Linked DNA regions of Arabidopsis thaliana. The protein of the gene in region 1 interacts with the protein of each later gene in a pairwise test. Each region holds a gene or a part of one and is shown on either strand. Other genes may lie near its edges.

The links.
Region 2: the proteins of TCP16 (region 1) and IAA20 interact in binary tests that used the Arabidopsis thaliana proteins (3 or more experiments, as listed by UniProt).
Region 3: the proteins of TCP16 (region 1) and BZR1 interact in binary tests that used the Arabidopsis thaliana proteins (3 or more experiments, as listed by UniProt).
Region 4: the proteins of TCP16 (region 1) and IAA9 interact in binary tests that used the Arabidopsis thaliana proteins (3 or more experiments, as listed by UniProt).

Annotation. Positions count from the first base shown.
Region 1 is NC_003074.8:16,529,521-16,532,825, reverse strand, and holds TCP16 (TCP domain protein 16), read right to left. Parts: upstream 1,648-3,305; coding exon 1,150-1,647; downstream 1-1,149. UniProt on the Arabidopsis thaliana protein: Required during early processes in pollen development.
Region 2 is NC_003071.7:19,305,060-19,309,571, reverse strand, and holds IAA20 (indole-3-acetic acid inducible 20), read right to left. Parts: upstream 1,859-4,512; 5' UTR 1,712-1,858; coding exon 1,339-1,711; intron 969-1,338; coding exon 872-968; coding exon of another isoform or gene 868-871; exon of another isoform or gene 761-867; coding exon 703-760; 3' UTR 501-702; downstream 1-500. Other genes in the region: AT2G46995 (uncharacterized protein), read left to right, coding at 1-104.
Region 3 is NC_003070.9:28,183,168-28,188,935, reverse strand, and holds BZR1 (Brassinosteroid signaling positive regulator (BZR1) family protein), read right to left. Parts: upstream 3,433-5,768; 5' UTR 3,228-3,432; coding exon 2,961-3,227; intron 2,617-2,960; coding exon 1,873-2,616; 3' UTR 1,791-1,872; exon of another isoform or gene 1,526-1,790; intron 1,490-1,525; exon of another isoform or gene 1,290-1,489; coding exon of another isoform or gene 969-1,289; 3' UTR 890-968; downstream 1-889. Other genes in the region: AT1G75090 (DNA glycosylase superfamily protein), read left to right, coding at 528-669, 748-889, 969-1,289; AT1G75060 (histone deacetylase complex subunit), read left to right, coding at 5,651-5,768.
Region 4 is NC_003076.8:26,251,299-26,257,413, reverse strand, and holds IAA9 (indole-3-acetic acid inducible 9), read right to left. Parts: upstream 4,007-6,115; 5' UTR 3,523-4,006; intron 3,468-3,522; exon of another isoform or gene 3,279-3,467; intron 2,991-3,278; 5' UTR 2,952-2,990; coding exon 2,410-2,951; intron 2,315-2,409; coding exon 2,088-2,314; intron 1,976-2,087; coding exon 1,834-1,975; intron 1,681-1,833; coding exon 1,619-1,680; intron 1,324-1,618; coding exon 1,280-1,323; 3' UTR 870-1,279; downstream 1-869. UniProt on the Arabidopsis thaliana protein: Aux/IAA proteins are short-lived transcriptional factors that function as repressors of early auxin response genes at low auxin concentrations.

The DNA.
Region 1 (3,305 bases):
AAGTATTAATATATGTTGCTAAAAGAAATTTTAATTGTTAAGAAAAATCTTGTTATTCATGGAAAAAGAAAATAAGTTTTTCTTCAAATTTTATTAAACATGGTATGATTAAATTTATTTTTATACTATAAACTATATAATCTCTTTTTCTAGCTTAAAGTGAGCTGGAATTTTCTTTAAGAATTTTAAACCATTTTCTTACTCAAGTTTTTTTTTTTAATCTAAATAAAGGTTAAATAGTATTTTTCTCTAAATACATATTAACCAATCTATAAAGTAAAAGAATTTAAGGGAAAACTATTAAAAGTTTATTAAAGTAATTTTTATTTACACAAAAATTAGTTTCTTATTCTTTAGATTTAGTTTTCCTTCCTTTTTTTTTTCTTTTTTTTTCCTTGAGAATCTTGAAAATAATATATATATATATATATTAAAATATATATCTGTGTATTAAGAAATATTAAAATAGATGTATGAAGCTAAATACAGAAACAAATCTTAAATAATTATTGTCCAGCTAAGTGTGAGCTGGAAATTTCTTTAACAGATATAAAACCACATTCTTACTCAATTGTTCCTTTTATTATCTCTTTAATTTATTTATATTATAGTTTTTGATATCCGTTTTTAATTAATGTTTTCATAACCGTTGGAACCTTTAGGTTCGAAAGACAAACGAATTTTGACAAATTAGAAAACGGAAATAAATAACTGTACATAAAAGTTATGTTTCGGTAAATATTATGACAGAATTATTTATTCTAGAATACCAACGAAATTGTTCGTGTCCAAAAAAGAAAAAATGAATCAAATTTGTTGTGAAGAGTTTAATTTAATCCATTGTTGAAATCAAATTCTCTACTAAACTTCAAACATGGACAAACAGTTTTAAATTACATCTATAATTAATTTTAGGTATTATTATTCATCTTAAAAAAACATGAGCATACAAGAAAAAAAGACAAATGGATACCGATCGAACTAAAACAAACCCTAGTTCAACTCTCAAACTGAAAAACATGAAGAGGAAAGAAAAAGCAAACAGAAACGAACTAAAACGTCCAGAACTGAACACTCTTAAATCTCCAATATTTATTTTAAAGACTCCAAATTGGCCTTCTCAGCGACGCCGTCTCCTCCTTCACAAGCTCAAACTGTGGTTGTGGCTGTTGTTGTTGCTGCTGATGTTGTATCACTGGCGGTAGCATTACCATTAAAGGTGGAATTGTAATTATCACTAATAGTACTGTAATTAGTTGAAGGTGCATGATCTGTCATTGTAGAAACCGGAAACACCATCTGACGATGACCAGTATTTACAACCGTACAAGGGAAAACGTTATTACTAATATTATCACCATTAAAGGTGTAACTAGGAAAATTCCTATTTGGCTGGATATCTTCATTGGAGGTGGTGGTGACACCATGTCCCGTGGCTGCGAAAATGGCAGGCTCGGCATTCTGGAGGAGCCAACTGACAGTTTCACCATCGGTTTTAAAGCCGAGTTCTTTTGTCAATCTAAATAGTTGGGGAGCAACACTCGGCGGGATCCGAATGCGACGATCACGGCCACCAATTTTCAAATGGCGGTCTTTTGGAGTCCTTCTTGCCTTTTGGCTGTTGTTAATTCCATTTTTCGAATCCATTTTTCTCTGTTTTTTTTTTCTTTTTCTTTTGTAAATGGAAGTGGAAAATATGTTTGTTTCACTTGGATTATATAGAAACGTTACAGAAAACTCTATTTCTATTTATGTTATGTATGGAAAACAATAATGGTGTAACAAACTAATAATTAAACTAATTGGTAAATAGAAGAAATCTTAAATTTATATAGGTATATTTGAGAATGAAATATTATCATGTAATATAATATGTAGTATAGAAAATATATTTAGTGGACCTGAAAAAAAGAAGTTATATTGGAATAATTAATTGATAGGTCCACTAAAAAAAGGAAAATAAACCTTTCTTCTGGCAGTTTACAGAAATTATTATTTACTGATACAACTGTACAAGTATAGTCCTATTTTATCCTATTTTAATTTTTTTAAAGTTAAGGTTTTAGTTTTTTTCCTTAGAAATTAATGATATTCCAACATTGTTATTTAAAATATTATATTGTTATTTTTAAACTAGGTGTTTGGATAGGAGTTCGCATATTTTTTTTTGGACGGTTAATTTGTTCTTCAGATATTGTCTATTTGTTTATTTATCAAACTATATTTCATTTAGGGTCAAATTCCCCGGACTATCAATTCTGAAAATAGAGATTCAGACTTAAAAATATATATCCAGAAAATTCCCTTAAGCTAACCCATTCGGGATAAAAAGTTTTTGAGGCTTAATCCCACCAGATTCAAGCCGGCCTAAAAAAATTTTAATTTTTTTTTTTACTTTTCTTTTGTTAATATTTTTCTTTAATTGGAATATTTGTTTTTGTTTTTTTTAATAGTATTGAAAACCCTAAACCTAGTTTTTCAATTGTGCCTTACTATAAATCTAAAAAACAAATCTTGGCTCGACTGTCTAGATTAAAATCTTCTGATTTTATATTTTATTTGTTATGAGTTTAAATAAAAAAATTAGATTATTTTTTTTGATTTTAAACCTTTTTTTTTGAAAATAAACTGGCTTTCATGGTTATTTAAATTTCAACTGATTTGTTTTGTTCATATATCCATCTTTCAGAAATATTATAAATTATAAATTTGTTTTTTTCTGGAAAGAAAAACATAAAAAACCTGGAAAAGTCTTGTCCCTGTTATTACCAGATCTTGAAATATAAGTTCAAATTTTTTTATTTCAAAATTTTTACTAACCGAACCAGACTAAATAAAATATATTCGAATTTTCTGGACTTTGTCAGACTGGACTAGTCCAATTGACATGTCTAAACTATTATAATAAATTATTTGTATGTAAGAAAATATATCCAAGTAAAATGATGGGTTACAAGACAGATGGTTTAGAAATAACCTGATATCATATTACCCGACTCTTACACATACTTTGTTTTCTTAAAACGGATAAGAGTTGGATAACATACTGTATATTGTTTGGTCAGCCTTACTGTTTTCATTTCCAAACTGACTTTTCAAATAAAGAACTAAAAAAAAGTCATCACCATCATTTTGAGCATGTTTCTATAACTCAAGCGGAACACTTTTAGAATTCGTCAAATCAAATATATTTTGACTCATTTTAAATCAAATATTCACTTTTACGAGAATAATTAACGAATTCTATCATCATTGAGCTATGATTTCATACGTATACCTTATAATTTAGATTATACTCTAAATTA
Region 2 (4,512 bases), on another chromosome or scaffold:
TAGAAGCGATTTGCTCCGTCTCGGTCTCTGTTTTGCTTGATCCGGAAGCTATGATTGGAATAAACAGAAACCCTATATTTTGCGTAAGCCGAATACTTTTGTGAGTTTTAAGTTGCATTATTTATAGATGGGATCGAACTTGGGCTTAATCAAAGGAGAAGGCCCATTTATTTCCAAAACACAAAGTAGGAAATATCAGGTGGGAATTTGTTGTTTCCCCTGCCTCCTTCCTTGTATATATCAAATGTACATTGTGGTCAAATCGATAATCAAATCCAAAAATTCTTCGAAAATTTAGAAGTTGTCTCTCGACATTAATTTGTCGCTTGGTTTTCTTGACTACTAGTATTTTCTGAAACTGGACTACATCCTATTTGACAAACAAAAGAAAGTACATCCTATAATTTTATTTATAAAAGCATTCAACTAATTATATAAATTCAAATATCCAATGACCAATGGTCTGACTGGTTTAATGCACTGAAACATGATTGTCGATCGGATAATTGTTTTTTCCTTTTTTTACTATTTTTTTGTGTACTACCGAGAATAATCAGAGTGAGTTCAAGATTTATGTACTATCTATCACAAAAGAAAAATGAAAATAATATTATAAATATCCGACCATTGATTTACATCAGGCAAAAACTTTTTTCTTGGCATTACTTCGATTTAAACACAACAAGTACGTAGACTTATATATCAGTAGTGGTAATTAGCTCTTGAAATCTTCAGTCTTCTCACAGTAGACAAGAACATCCTGCAAAAAATCAACCCACAAATTAAAAATATATATAAGGATGATCATATAGTTAATTTTCTGCATAATTAACAATCTAATTATACAAAAAAGGATGAAAAGAGTGCTTACTCCCAAGGAACATCTCCAACCATCATCCAGTCACCTTCCTTATCTGCGTACGTTAGCACGTGACTCTTCTCATTGCACATGTCTTCTTCTTCAGCCCCTATATATTTCCATTTTTTCAATTCCCATCAGTTTTCATCATTTTTACAATTTACCCATTACACAGTACTTACACACTGCGCAATATATAAACTCTACCTACGGAATAATAACTCTGACATATAACGTTATCCAGATTTTTTTTTTGACAAACAAACAAACAACCTATGAAATAGTGATGGGCGATTATTACGGCGATATTAACCTTCAAACAAAAGAATAGTAATGAGCGGAAGTATTTTTTCATTCCGTAAAAAAAAAAAAAAAATCAAAACGGACTTATAAGAAAGAAAAAAATATCGTTAGAAATTTGCTACCTCTAAGACATATAAATCATTCTGATATGACATTATGTATACATAGAAACTTACAGAGAATGGATGCGTTGAACATGAAATCAAGGGTTCTGATCAAGTCGCGGTAGCCATTAAGAGACATTAGATCGATCTTTCTTCCAATTGGAACTCCTTCCATGTTCACTTTCACGTAAAAGCTCCCTACACTGTTACACTCATTCTCTTCTTCCTCCTCCACAGCCGCCACATATTCCGCATCCTCTACCGCCGGAGCTGCAACGGAGTACCCATAGCCACCGTTGAAATATTGAGTCCCTGAGGATGTCCCGAAGCTGAGTCCGAGTCTCAGGTCCGTGCTTAGGTTTCGAGTACTTGACGAAGCACCGAATGGGTTGCTCTTGCTGCTACTCTCTATTGAAGAAGACGATGAACTTCTCCCTCTTCCCATATCTCTAGCTCTCTCTCTCTCTCTCTATCCTTTTTATAATAATTTTAGGTTAAGACAAATGAGTAATGAGCCGCCATGCTTGGTTTGTACGTGTGTGTTTATATAGAAGATAAAACTAGGACTTGTTTTTATTTTATTTTAAATTTGATATGGTCTTAATTCGTATTTTTGTTCAAAGTTCACACAAATAAAAAGCGACGGTGGAATGATGAGACAGCGTCCGCTAAAAATGTTGTTAGTGTAGCAGACCAAAACACGTGTCAAACGATGATTCGATCAAAGTGTTGGTTATGATTTTGTGGGTTCGGTTTCTCGCTAGTTAATGTTTGATATCTAACCCCAAAAAATAAATATATACATTTAGCTGTTTTGATGATATGAAGTAGTATTAAAGTTAATATTGAGAAATTACATCTTCTTAATCGTGTTCAATGCATGAAAGGTTATCGTGACGCGCATTGAGGCGTTTGTGGAACTACATTACTTCCCACATTTCCAAAATTAATGTGTTTTCATATGACCTCGATACAATTAACACTTTAATCAAACAAATTATTTTCGGAAAGTGTTTGGGTAAATGCTTGCTTAGTAATCGGATTAACACTTCTTTCTTAAGTTAATTAGGTATAGTTCTTTACTTCTGTTTAACAAAAGTTATGACGAAAGTTACGATGTGGAGTTGTGGACCCATCATATGTATGCAAGCATGACAAATGTTTGAGCCTACGATGATTCAAGTCCAAGTCATTATTAACCATAAAACAATGCGATTTAGTTCCACCAGATGATTTGAATAATCAAAACCCCCAATAAGTAAGTCTTAGACCGATTTTATTTCATGTAAAAAGAAGATAAATCTCATTTTTGTTTCTTTACAATTACGTTTATTCGAAGCTTAGACATAAAAAAAAATTAGTCAACTACTAAACAAGTTGTATCAGCGCTGCCATAATCGGTCTAAAACGGACTATTCCAAACCGGTAAAAAGTGCCTATATAATGATGTAAATCATACGTAATATATTTGCGAAAGAGAAGTTGTTAGACGTAATAATAACTAAATAAATAGAGAAAATTTGAAAATTGAAAAGAAAAAAAAAAGCGAAGGAAGAGAGGGGGCATGAGTAATGAATGGTTCACCTTAAAGAGAGGACCTAATGAGAGTTCCTTTGTCTATGGAACTTAAGGAGACGTCACATTTCTCATATTTGCAAGCACGAGAAAAAGGAAACACACACACTCACGACACAACGACCAACGACTATATTTCTTGTCATTACCCACGTGGCATTTTTGTTTCCACGTGGACTCCCTCAACCACAACATGTACATTGTACAATGGATGCGTGCCTTATGGTAAAATTATATAATTTCATTGAAAATATAATATAAGAATCAAATTTTAATGGATGTGTGCTTCGTGACGAAACTAATTTCATTTCAATTCATCAAACTTCGTTATTATAATTTCATCCTTCACAAAATAACACAACGTGCAAGCATAGTGTAGCTTGGTTTGGATTGAACCATGTAAGCAATTAGAGACATATACGCACTAGAGTTGAAACCGGCTTGGTTCCCTCGCTTAATTCAGGTTTCGATATTTCAGTTTGGAAAAAATGTACTAATTAGTTGGAACCAATTGAGTTTTAGAGAAATATTGAAGAAACAAAAAAAAAATCAAGAGAAAAAGGATAAAGGAGAGATGTTCCCTAACAACACTACAAATTACAATTTCCTCACTTTCTTATTTTCTTACTGCCTCCGCCTCCTCTCTGTCCCCTCTTTTCTTCCATTATTTTCATTTGCATCTTCTCTTTATTTCTTTGCAACTTTAATCTTATGATATGTAAATTGTAAATATACTCATTTTTTTCTATATTGAATAAAAAAACTTTTGTTAGAAAAAGATACACATATACGATATTTCCTCAAAAATAATATGAAGTACTGATTTTGGCAGTCATTATAGAATTGCATTTTATTGGAAAGATACACACATAGTTCAAGTACTTTATATATGCGCTAATTTTGAGAACTCCACTTTACTGCGTCGTGGTTGCTTGTCAGTCAAAACTTGGGCTTGCTTTTAAGATGCGTGATTGCATTTGCATGTCTCGTGGCTTTCTTTTTCTGTAGCCCCTCTTGTTGGACTAATCATAGCCTTTTGTTTCCTCCCTTTGCTTTAACATTACTGAAATTATCGGATTGTTTCTTTCATTTGTTGATTGGATGTATGTTTACATTATTACATGTGTATTCATTGTTATAATATACAAGTTTTAAAACATTACTTCCCCTACCAAATAATTTCAAATATATATATATATATATATATATATTCATGAAGCATTTTTTATTTTATTTTGGTTTAATGAAGCATTAAATTTTGAACTTGCTTATGTTACTTTTATGATATTGGAAGAAGTCGAATTATTTCTTCGTTGATATCGTATATAAAATTTAAAACTCATAGAATTTCTATTCAAAAAGTAATTGGTGATTAAATGAATGGAGTGCCTATATATGTATTTTTTTTTTCTTGCAATCAATTTTGATTTAGAATTTGCATGCATGATATTTTTTTAATATTTTTTTATCCTTTAATAATTTTTTTTTATATTATCTAAAGTTGTATTTGTATTCCTTACATAAAGTTTGGTTACTTTCATCTCTAAGGTAAACTGCTAATATTAAAGAAAGTAATTTAATGGAAGCAAAAAGTGTTAAAATATGTAATATAATTTGAATGGAAGAGTAGCCCCCGAGGGCAATCAAGTGGAGGTCTTCCATGGTTAGGAT
Region 3 (5,768 bases), on another chromosome or scaffold:
TTATCAATTATAACTAATAACTATTGTATTGAAAATCTAAAAAATTAATCTTTTTGAAACAATTTTTTTTTCTAAACAATCAAACAAAAAGGAACGAGGGAGTATATTTTTAAAGAATAAAACAAAATATTAGTTTTTAGGTTTTATTGTTAGGAATAAAATGTTTTACACTATGTAGAGACTTGTTGTCCTTGTCACAACATTTAATGAATCTGCAAAGAATTAAAAGATACTTACCAAATTTCTTCGTTTTTGGCCCCAATAAAATATCTCAATCGACTTTATAAATTGATGCCATGTGAATGGCTTTTTATGGTTTTCGAAATGTAATTTTGTTTTGATAATACGTTAAAGTTAATAAAGGTTACAATCAGTTTTCATAGATGTCAACAACACATTAATTGCACCTAGCAAAAACTAGGTATTGTAGTTGATAAATAAGGACAAAAAAAAATGTAGAAGATGATTGATGACATTGGATATGTAAGTTTTTCAGTTAATAATAATAATGGTGATTGATCAAACAGACCCGATCTATGTTTTGTTCCACGACGAGGAATGGGGTGTTCCAGTTCGTGATGACAAGAAACTCTTCGAGCTACTTGTCTTCTCACAAGCTTTGGCTGAGTTTAGCTGGCCTTCAATCCTACGCAGAAGAGACGACTTTAGGTAAACTTAGGACGGTGAATTTGCTATTTTGTGTTTTGGTTTGGTGTGATATCAGAAGTTTTGGTTTCTTTTTTGTAGGAAGCTCTTTGAAGAGTTTGATCCTTCAGCTATAGCACAATTCACAGAGAAGAGGTTGATGTCTCTTAGAGTTAATGGGTGTCTAATTCTATCCGAACAGAAACTGCGAGCAATTGTAGAGAACGCGAAATCTGTTCTCAAGGTAGGCACTGTGTGTTTTGCTATGAAATTGTAGATACTATGTGTTTACTGAAATAGCTTTGGTTGTAATCTGAAAACAGGTCAAGCAGGAATTTGGATCGTTCAGTAATTATTGTTGGAGATTTGTGAACCACAAGCCATTAAGAAATGGCTATCGATATGGTCGTCAAGTACCGGTTAAGTCCCCAAAGGCAGAGTACATTAGCAAAGATATGATGCAGAGAGGGTTTCGCTGCGTTGGTCCTACTGTTATGTATTCCTTCTTGCAGGCCTCTGGCATTGTTAATGATCATCTCACAGCTTGTTTCAGATACCAAGAATGTAATGTTGAGACTGAGAGAGAAACAAAAAGCCATGAGACTGAAACCAAACTGGATCTGCATTCTCCATTACTTGTTTGATCAGAAACAGGGATTGGACTATTAAGAAGATGAGTGACCAGTGTTTGTATTCGTTATGGAATGTACCATTTGTAGCTAGCTGTGTTCATTGATTATGCTACTATCCTAGCTAGCTTTGTCTAACTAGATATTTGATGATGTGTTAGTGTTTGACCAAAAGATTGATTGCAGGGAAATAAAGAATTTAACATTTTGTAAAAGCAAATGTTTTTGCAAATTTTGGATCTTGATGCTAAGAGACAGAATCGGCTCAAGAAATGATATATGACTAAGCAATTTGACAAGACACAAGACAGTTTCAAGCCACTAATTAATGTAACATATGTAAGGAAACAGAATCATACATCTTAAGATTTTTTTATCTACAAATAATGCTTTTGAAACCAAATTCATGAATTGAATAACCACTCTAACACTCCAATGCTTCCATGGAGAAGGCTTTGGGCAGCATATTTGGATAATAAGTGAAGAACATATGAGATTCCATAAAGATCCAAATACCTGGACGAAGAAGAAAATACTCAAGAGGATTAGTTTCTCATATTCCAATGACATGCCATTTGGGTTTGCCTAGTTGTTTATGTCAACCACGAGCCTTCCCATTTCCAAGTGTAAGCTCAAGATCCTCCATACCCACATCATGTATCCTCTCTCCTTCCCAGGGTTTAACTTGGCTATTCTCAAATTTAAACTCAGAGCTTTGACCAATCTCTTGGAAGGCAGCAGTATTTGGAGACATCTGCTGAGGCGCAGGTTTCACAAGATTGAAGGTAGGAGAGGTTGGCACCATAGAGGCAGAGAATGGCTGTTGTTGTGCAAACTTCTGAAAGCTTATCCAATGACCAGAATCAACAGTGGAAGAGTCAGACTCATCACATTCAGGTATAGTAGCCGGGGTATGAAACTGGTGGCGATGTGTCGGACTAGCAGGTGCAGAAACCGCATAGAAAGGATAATTAAAAGACGCCATTGATTGTTTAGCAATGGCCATGGATTGCTTAGCGATAGATTCCCAGTTAGGCAACGGTTTCGGGTTCTTAGAAGTCGGCGATGAGACCGGTGGGGTAACTGGACAACTGTTTGAGATTCTGAGGGAAGGAAGAGAAGAAGGAATGCCACCATTTCTGAGGAAAGGGAAGAATGTAGAGGACATGTTGTTATTTGGTTCACCGCGAGAAGGACTCGGGAATGATGAAGAAGACGGGCTAACTTGGTAAGATGGGATGGGACTTTGAAAGGCTGATGAAAGAGGGCTCTGGTTCTGTGATGAATATGGAGTTACTCGAGATGAAGTCCCAGCTATCTCACCAGGTAAAGGCTTGCATCCCTGATACTCCAACAAAAGCAAAACAATAACCAATCAAACATCAATCAATCACAGGTAAGCAAAAGAAACACAATGCAATGACTTTGGACCAAGTATCATACATAAAAGATTAAGACTTTAGCATACCAATAATAACTCTAAAATTAGAAAGAAAACCCATAAATTCACTTTGAGAAATCAGATCCATCCATAGTTTCTGATGATTCAAATTCACTTTGAGAAAACCCTCAAATTCTCAGATTCAAACCCATTTAACCACAATTGAAATCAACGAATTCAGATTCAAACATCAAAAACATCAATAAAACAAGCTCAGATCTGGAAAAAATGGAGAAAGTCTTCACCTTGCGATAAGTAGTACCATCTTCTTCAACAACCCAACCAGCTTCAACACAAAGAGCTTTAAGGACTTCATTATTATCACAATGTTTAGGCAAATTATAATCACCTTGAGCTCTAAGCCCAGTGTATATCTTCGCAGCTACAGCTCTTCTCCGTCTTTCTCTCCTCCGATTATTCTCCCTTTCTCTCCACGACGGCTTCCTCCTCGCCGCTGCTGCCGCCGCCGCAGCTGCAGCTGCTGATGTCGACGTAGCTCCATCCGAAGTCATCGGGAAAACCAACAACCAACCCCTCGAAACTTCCGGAGAGAGCTTTGAATAGGTGGGTGAAAGATTGTGTGAACGTAGACTGATGAAGAAGAAGAAGAGAGGAGTGAGAAGTTAGTGCTCACGAGGAATACGCTTTTCCTTCGCTGGAATCGAAGAAGAAGAATCTCTCTTTCTTCTCCAACAAATAATAATATTTTTTTCATCTAATGTAAAAATTGGGTCGTGTGTGTGTTCAAGTACATTGAGTTCATATTAAGAATCATTGTTCTTGTGTATCGATCGTCCACGTGTAAATACATGGTTTTGGAAGGGTGAGATTACGTGAGGTGAATATAAGAGGTGTATGTTAAGGTGCAGAGGATAACTACGCTTAGTAACGTGTGTTTATGTTCTAATCTTTTTTTTTTTCTGTGAGTATGTAAAATGAGTAATGACCAAATAATACAGAGAAAAGAAAGGAGGAGACACAGTGGGACCGTTTCTTCAGTGTGGGTCCCTTACTTGTGTGACCGAAAAACACACCATTTGATTGGTTTTTAAAATTTTATTTTATACAGTGAAGCCGTGTGATTAACATCATAATGATATATTCAATTAAAAATTATCACTTTTTTCTTGCATACAAATCTCACTTTAGAAACAATTTTGACTACTTTTGTCCTGATTAGTTGTATGTACACTGGCTCTCTCTTTTTTTTACCTTCTTCGTACCTTACAAATGATATAAAGATTGGTGAATACCATTTACTATGTTCTATAAAGTATTTAGTTTGGTTACATGTTGATTTTAAGCTTTAGTATCTAATATCCAAATTTTGGATTAATTGCTGGGTCCATCATTATTTATGTATTCATAACCAAAACTTGTATAGTTCATTGAACATAAAAGGAAAAAGGGGTTTACGAGTTTGTCCCATAACAAGGTTCGGCGGCATATATGATGTATGATCATGTAATATTTTTGGATTATGACGTTTATTTTGTAGAAAGTGCAGGAGCATGTAACTAATGTCTTAAAAGCAGAGGAACCCGAACCATCAACGCGAGTTGGGAAACATTTGGAATGAATCAGAGGGTTCGATGAATTAGGCAAAACTAAAGTAATCGCCGTTGCCGGGGATCGAACCCGGGTCACCCGCGTGACAGGCGGGAATACTTACCACTATACTACAACGACTTTGTTGCTAATCGAGCGATTATGTGTTAATTATTGGTGATACGTTTTAAATCATCAGTTAAATCTTAATACCAGCTTTCGTTTCTAGCATTAAAAGGAATTTAGGGGTTTTCTTCTTTGGTTTGGCACTAGTAACCTACTTGTGATAATAAGTAGATTATGTGTTAAGTATGTTTTTTTTGGAAATATGTTCTGTTTTTCCGATTAACTCCATGTTACCTAGCTAACTCGTTTTGGACAATAAGTACATTACTTTAAACCATCAAACTTACAAAATGCTATGTCTTGAACAAGAAAAAATGTTGGCTTAAGAATCACTCCATGAACATTGTTTTAGTTTAGTTAAATGTTCAATATGGACATTATACGATGACATATTTAATAGAGGCGTGATTTCAAATTCAAATTACATTGGAGAGGAACGAAAACAAATAAACAATAGGGGTATAATCGTAACTTACGCATGCATGGGCCCCATAACTCCTGACTTTTTTTTTATTTTGAAAAAACCCAGTCAACCATTCATATTCACGTCGATCGCGTGTAGACATTACACAAAATTTACGAAGTGTGGCCCTCGTTTTCCTTTTTTGATCATTTTAAAACCCTCTAAAAGCATCAATCTCAGATTCCAATACAAATTAGTACCCAAAATGTTTCATACAAATTAACCAAACGTATCCACTCCTTTCTTTTTTGTTTCAATTTCGTTTTTACAAAATCTAAATCTTCACAACCAAGACAAGACAAGTAATACAGTGAATAAAGAGTAAAAAGTAATACAAGTTTTCCAACAAATGAATTCATCTTTATTAGAGAGTAAAAAGTAAAAAAGCTCTCGGTAAAAAACAAAAAAAGGTTTTGGTACCCATCCATGAAAAAACCGCTCAATTTCCACAGTGCAAATGATACAAGTACAAAACACACGTGTTGATACCTTATTGGTCACGATAGGAAGGCGGTCGCTATCGCCTATCGTCCCTTCCCTTCCCTCCTCTGTATCTCTATCTTTCTCTCTCTTACTCATCATAATACACTCTGCTTTTTCCTCTTTCTTCTCTCACTCTTACTCTGTCTTTCTTCATCAGACCAAAAACAAACCCTAATTTCTCAGCTCGATTTCTCTCTTACTCCATTTCTCAATCCTTCACAAAATGCACCAACTTCCATTTCCGAGATCGTAAAAAAGCTTGTGGTACTTTCTGATAATAGAGAGGGAAAAAACGAGAGAGAGAGAAAACACAAAATGCTGGAAGCTCCGGTGAACAAGTCAAGCATCCTCAATGGAGGAGGAGGAGGATTCTCTCAGCTACAGAGTTGCTTCGGCGATTGCAGTAGCGAAGAAGAATTGTCAGTGTTGCCAC
Region 4 (6,115 bases), on another chromosome or scaffold:
ATTTGGATTAAAGTTTTAAAGTAACAAGAGTGATTTAAATTCGACCCGTAGGTTCTCTTAAACTATGAGAGTACTATATGAGTCTTTAATTATCTTGATCGAATATATGCCTTGGAATTGATTAATTAACGCCTCTTTGAAAAATTGGACAGTTGAATATAACATTTCATTTTAGGTGGGGTTTAATCATATTGTTTTGTCAACGCTAACGGAATTATTAAAAATGAACAATAAATGATATCACAAAAATAATTTTCATAAAACAAATAAGCAAACCACCATTGCCAAACCCAAAGAGGCGCACTATGCTTCCACCTTCAGGAACAGAAAAATAATAAACGTTCCTTGAATGAGAAATGGGAAATTAGTATATGGGAATTTATGTTCATGTATCTTTGACTATTTTTCTCTCAAACGATATTATTCGATACTATTAAACTATAGTTATTCACTAAATCTAAAACTGATTCGTTGAAATTTATGATATCTTCGTTTGGGGATTGTACTATATAGTTATCATGAGTTTGTACGCAGCCCATGCTTGCTAAGGTAAACAAAGTTTCATGGAAGGTTAAAAAGTGAAATAATGATATCAAAACCTTTTCCCGGCGAAATTACTTTTATTTATCTTTGATTTGTCTTGTAGCTTTTGGTTCTTCAGGTGAATTATTCAAGTTGGTTTAAAGATCCGTTGGTGGCAATGATTTGGTAGCACAGTTTAGTTATGACAGTTATAAAAAGATTTTTTTTTCTTTCTGATTAATCTTGATATTCCATTTAGAATAGAGTCATAGACATTGAGAAAAACGTAGGTTTACCACTTCCGCATTCAAATGTGTTAGAATTTAACAATCCACCTCAAAGATTTAAGTACTGATTAATATTTAAGATTGTTTTGCAAATGCAGAAGAAGAACCTCCATGTTCAATGATAGAAAGCCAAATCGTAAAACCGGATTGTCTATCTTCTCTTCTCGAGAAGAAGCAAAGAAGAGAATAACAAAAACGTTACATCAAATAATATCTCAAAGGTAGAAGTCAACCACACATCCAAATCAAACACAAAACATAAAACAACGACCAGTTTACTGACTAAAGCAACAAACAAACAACAAAAATAGATCATTTTTAATTCTTCTTCATTTCCTTACATTCGTAGTCTTACTTACTTCATTTTAAAAATTCAGAAACTAAAGATATTGATGTTTTGAAATTTAAAAACACCACCAAAAGATCGCACATATTTTGTATAGTTAGAAAGCTTTGTCATGTTCCATCTTTTAAGCTCTCATCTTCGATTTCTCCATTGCTCTCGGAGCTGCAGCTGCAATATCACCAGTTCACCACATTGAATCATTAAGACATTTTGAATCAGAGAAGACGAGTGATCAAACATGAATTGAAATCAGTTTAATTTCGATTTTATTTACATGTTAATTTGTTGTATTTACTCCCAAAAGAAGACGAGTGATCAAACATGAATTGAAATTTCTAAATCAGCTACAAGTAACTCACACCAACAAACCACTAATCTCATCATACACACTACTTGTAATCGGTTTTAGTAGAGATAGTAGTTTACGTTGTAGCTTAGGAGCAGAGAGAAGAATAGACTTTACCTAACCCAATAGCATCACACCCTTTCATTATCTTCAGCTTCTTGCAGACATCAATAAACATCCTGTAATATACATCGGATCAGAAATCACTCATGAGCGCTTATACCAATCACCATGATATAATCTTCTATGGCATGTTAGATTTGATTCTAAGATATCTGGCAGAGAGTAGAGAAAGCTTCTAACAAGTTTTGAATATAAGAGAGGAAACTTACTCCCACGGAACATCTCCAACAAGCATCCAGTCACCATCCTTATCCTCATAAGTGAGCACATAGTCTTTTCCATTCAAAAGATCCTTGAGCTTGGTCTCACTAAGCATATCCTTCCCAGCAGCTCCATTAGATCCACATTGACCTAAACATCAAATAAACAGTGCAGGTTAACTACTTTGACTGCACTCATTCATTGATCCTTAAATAGAAAGAGGTTTTCAAACACATCACTAGCAATCACTGAAACATCTCACCAAGAGTGAAAGTGGTGAACATTTTCTCCAAGGCTGAAGAAAGCTCCCCGTAGTTAGTGTAGCTCCTCAGGTCAACTTTCCTCAGATAAGGAGCACCATCCATACTGACCTTCACGAAGAGAGCCCCAGAACCTGGCCTCCCATCAACTTCGTCACTGTTCTTACAAGTAGTGGCCAATGTGTTCTTCCTGTAGGATCTCACTGGAGGCCAACCGACAATTTGTGCCCTGAAAATTCCAGAATCCGAAAAAACACCAGTTAGCTAGCTGTTGAAAGTAATCCATATCAAAATCGAACGAATGCTCCTATCTTCTATTCATACTTGGCTGCAGGTGGACTAGAGCTATTGTTTGTAGTGCTAGACTGTCCTTTGGGTATGTTTTGTGGCACATCTTTCTTTGTTACAGACTGGGTGGCTGCTGCTTCAGGGAACATCCAGTTTTTCTCAGTATACACTGAACTTTTAGCTTCAGCAAACTGATCCATTGTGTCAGAAAAGCCTCTTTTGTTTCCCGATGCATTGTTCTTTTGCGAGGAGGAGCATATCTCATCTTTAGAAGGAAGCAAAGGAAAGAATGGCTTCTCATCTAGCTTTGCTGGGCTCAAAAGGTTAAGCTCTGTGTCTCTCGCAGGAGATTGTGATCCAGGAAGACCAAGTGTCAGCTCCGTAGCCTTGAGGCTGATAGTAGCTTTGTCATCTTCAGCAAGGGGAGAGAGAGTAGAGCTTCCAACAGAAGAACAATCAGAGAGACCCAAGTAGTTATGCTCTTTAAGTCCTCCTAGAGTGTTCCTGGAGATGCAATTGCTAGTAGGTGAAGAACTAGCCACCGATACATTGCTCTGTAGCTCCTCTTCCGGGGACATTGGATACTCAAGGTTTCTTTAACTGCAAAGCTGCTTTACCTGATGATTTACACAGCACAAAGTCCTCCACATTAAATTCACATAACCATAAACAAATCCTCAAACAAAACCCTAAATTACCAGAAAAAATCAAGAACTCAATTTCAATCAAAATTCGAAGAAACTCGAAACCGTATCAATTAGGGTTTCAAAAGTAGATTGCATCTATGAAAAACTCACAACCAAAATTTAGAGCAAAATAAAGCTCAATCTGAGAAAAAAATGGAAAGCTAAAAATAAATAGAAGTCAACTTAAGGTCAGATGAAGAAACTACACCGTTGAGTTACATTTTTCGAGCTGATCTCAGATTTGAATTTCCACAGAATTCTATCTACAAATCACTAAACCTAGCAAGGTTTAAGCCAACAGCTCAAACAAACCAAAATTCGCCATAGAAATAGTGAGGAAATCAGCAAAGAAACTCAATAGCTAATAGATCTAATAACTACTAACTACACACACAAACAACAACAAGCTAAAAATTACCGGATTTGAAACTATGTATAAGAAGAACAGAGAAGACATAATTACCTCAAACGGAAAAAACAAATCCTGGATGAAAAATGGAAGCTCACAACGAAGAAGAAGAAGACGATCAAAAATAAGAGAGTCTGAGATATTTTGGAGAAGAAGAGTATAATTTTTAAGAAACTGTAGAAGATGAATAGCAAAGAGAAAGAGAGAGAGAAGTGTCAAGGTCCTTCCATTAAAGCAGAAAAAAGCTTAATTATCATTACCCAGAAACTCGTAGCCGAGATTAAAATTAAAATAACTAAACAAAGTGGTAGAATAGAAAATAAGTGGAAAAAGTTGCGTATTTTTATTTACGAATGGATTCTAATCCAACGGCTCAGATTTGATCGTGCTGATAATTCTAAACCGTCGGATTTAAATCAGCAGATATGAACCGTTGATGTACAAATGTCGGGAGTCGGATCTTTAAACAAAATTATGCCACTTTTCTGGCTCCACCCGAAAGGGGATGGTTGTCTGCAAATATTAAATTCCGATTCTATCCTTTTGTTTTTAATGACTAATGTAACCTCTATGTGATGATAATGTGATTGAGGAATGAAGGGTAAAATGGTAAAGAGAGAAAAAGAGGAGTGAGGAGGGGACAAGAAAGCGGCATTCCAAGTCGGTTTGCCGGGTGGTGAATGGGACATCTAACCTCTTCCACTTTCTTCCTTTCTCTCTCTATCTCTACTTTATTAATCTAAAATTAATTAAGACTTGTTAATCTTTTTTTATAATCACTTTCTTTCTTTCGGATTAAATTTAATTAAATTCCGCCACCTTCCTAATTTCTTTAACTTTCATTATTACGTTTCCTTATCTTTCAATTTTTTTTACTTAGATTGGCCCAACTGGATGGGGCCCATTGAGAAATGTTAGTCCCCCCAAACTTGAATTTTTCATTTTGCTTTTTTTTTTTGGTTTGGCATTCATTGTAGTCTTCTAGATAGATGAATGGGTAAATAGTATAAGTAACTTTAATAATGACTATAGATTAATCTTTTTCATAAGGTTACGTCACGTGCTAGATTTTTGTTTTTTATTTTTGTTGAATTTGCACTTAAATAAGTAAACTGATTGAAACAAAATTATAGTCATGACAAAAATTAGATACATACAAGTTTGTCCGAATTGAGTTTAAAAAAAAAATCTCATTTTTTGAAAGTATAATTTGTGGTGTTATTGTTAGAAGTACAAAATTTGAATGTGAACAACATACATATTTCTGGAGTATTAAATATGTCTGAATTGCACTGTTACGATCATCATACACAACGTTTAATCCATAGTAATAAGGATGATTGGTTAAAAAGTAAAAAAGTAAATTCGTTGGTAATAAACAGGTAAATTATGTATGTTAATTTTTATAGTCGGTTACATTCTTTTCGTGTTAAAAAGAAAAAAAGAAAAAAATTATAGTCGGGTGTAATATACATAAAAAAAATTACTGTAAAAAATTCAAAGTAATTAAAAAAGGAAGGTAATGGGAATTGGGGAAAGGGGAGCATAATAATAACAAAAGGGGTGAAATGGGATTGAAGAACACGCATGGGAAGCACAAAATATCTCAATCTGACCGTAGGATTTGATGGTAAGAGAGTAAGAGAGGCCTGTGTCCGTTCATCATCATCATGACCTTCTCTGACTCTTTTTTTTTCATCATCACTCTTCCGTACCACTCACGTTATCTCTTTTTTACCCCTCTCTATTCTTTTTAACCTTTTTTCTTTCCTTTTACCAAAGATTTAAAGACGATTAATCAAAAAAAAAAGTCTTTAACACCTTATGCACAAAGAGGAAAGTAAAAGAAAAATATTCACCGTCCAGAATAATAATACGGCATTTCTTAACCTTCCCCGTAAAAAGTTTTGATTTTCTCTTTCTCATATTTTGTTTAATCGTCTGTATAATAAGTAAAGGATATTAATTATTTCAAATTACTACAACTACCATCAGACATTATATTTAAAATTATGAGTACATGAAAATATGTGTCTAATTAAAAAGTGATTGGTAAAAAACAATAATAGTAATACAGATAAATTATTACAAAAATGCAAAAGTAAACAGTAGATCAGATTAGCAGCATTTGCGAGTACAAATAATGCGGGTTGAGACAAGACAATGAGACCCGTAGTGCTTTTGTCCTTCACGCTTATTTTATTAGTCTTTGATTGATGATGGATTCACTAAAGTTAATTAATCTTTTTCCCCGTAATTAATTAATTTATAATTAGAGTGGAGGAAATCAAACGACAAGACACGTTAGACTGTTTACTTTGGGCCCAGACTTTGCACTCTAGTATATAAAAATTCATTTATAATTGGGCTTTTATTTCATATTATAACATAGGCCCATAAGCCACTATCCTTCTTGATGGGCCATAATATACTTACCTCTCTCGTATTAAGGATTTGTTGAATTTATAATCTACGTGTTGACCCCAAAAAAAATGTAATGTACGTAAGATATTTCTTCGTTTAGTCAGTCATGTTGCTGTCAACGTTTTTATAATTCTTTGTATCACAATTTTTTCAATTTTTTTTTAACTAGAAATACACAAAAACAACTAATTATTTATTGCAAATTGTTATATGTTTTATATGT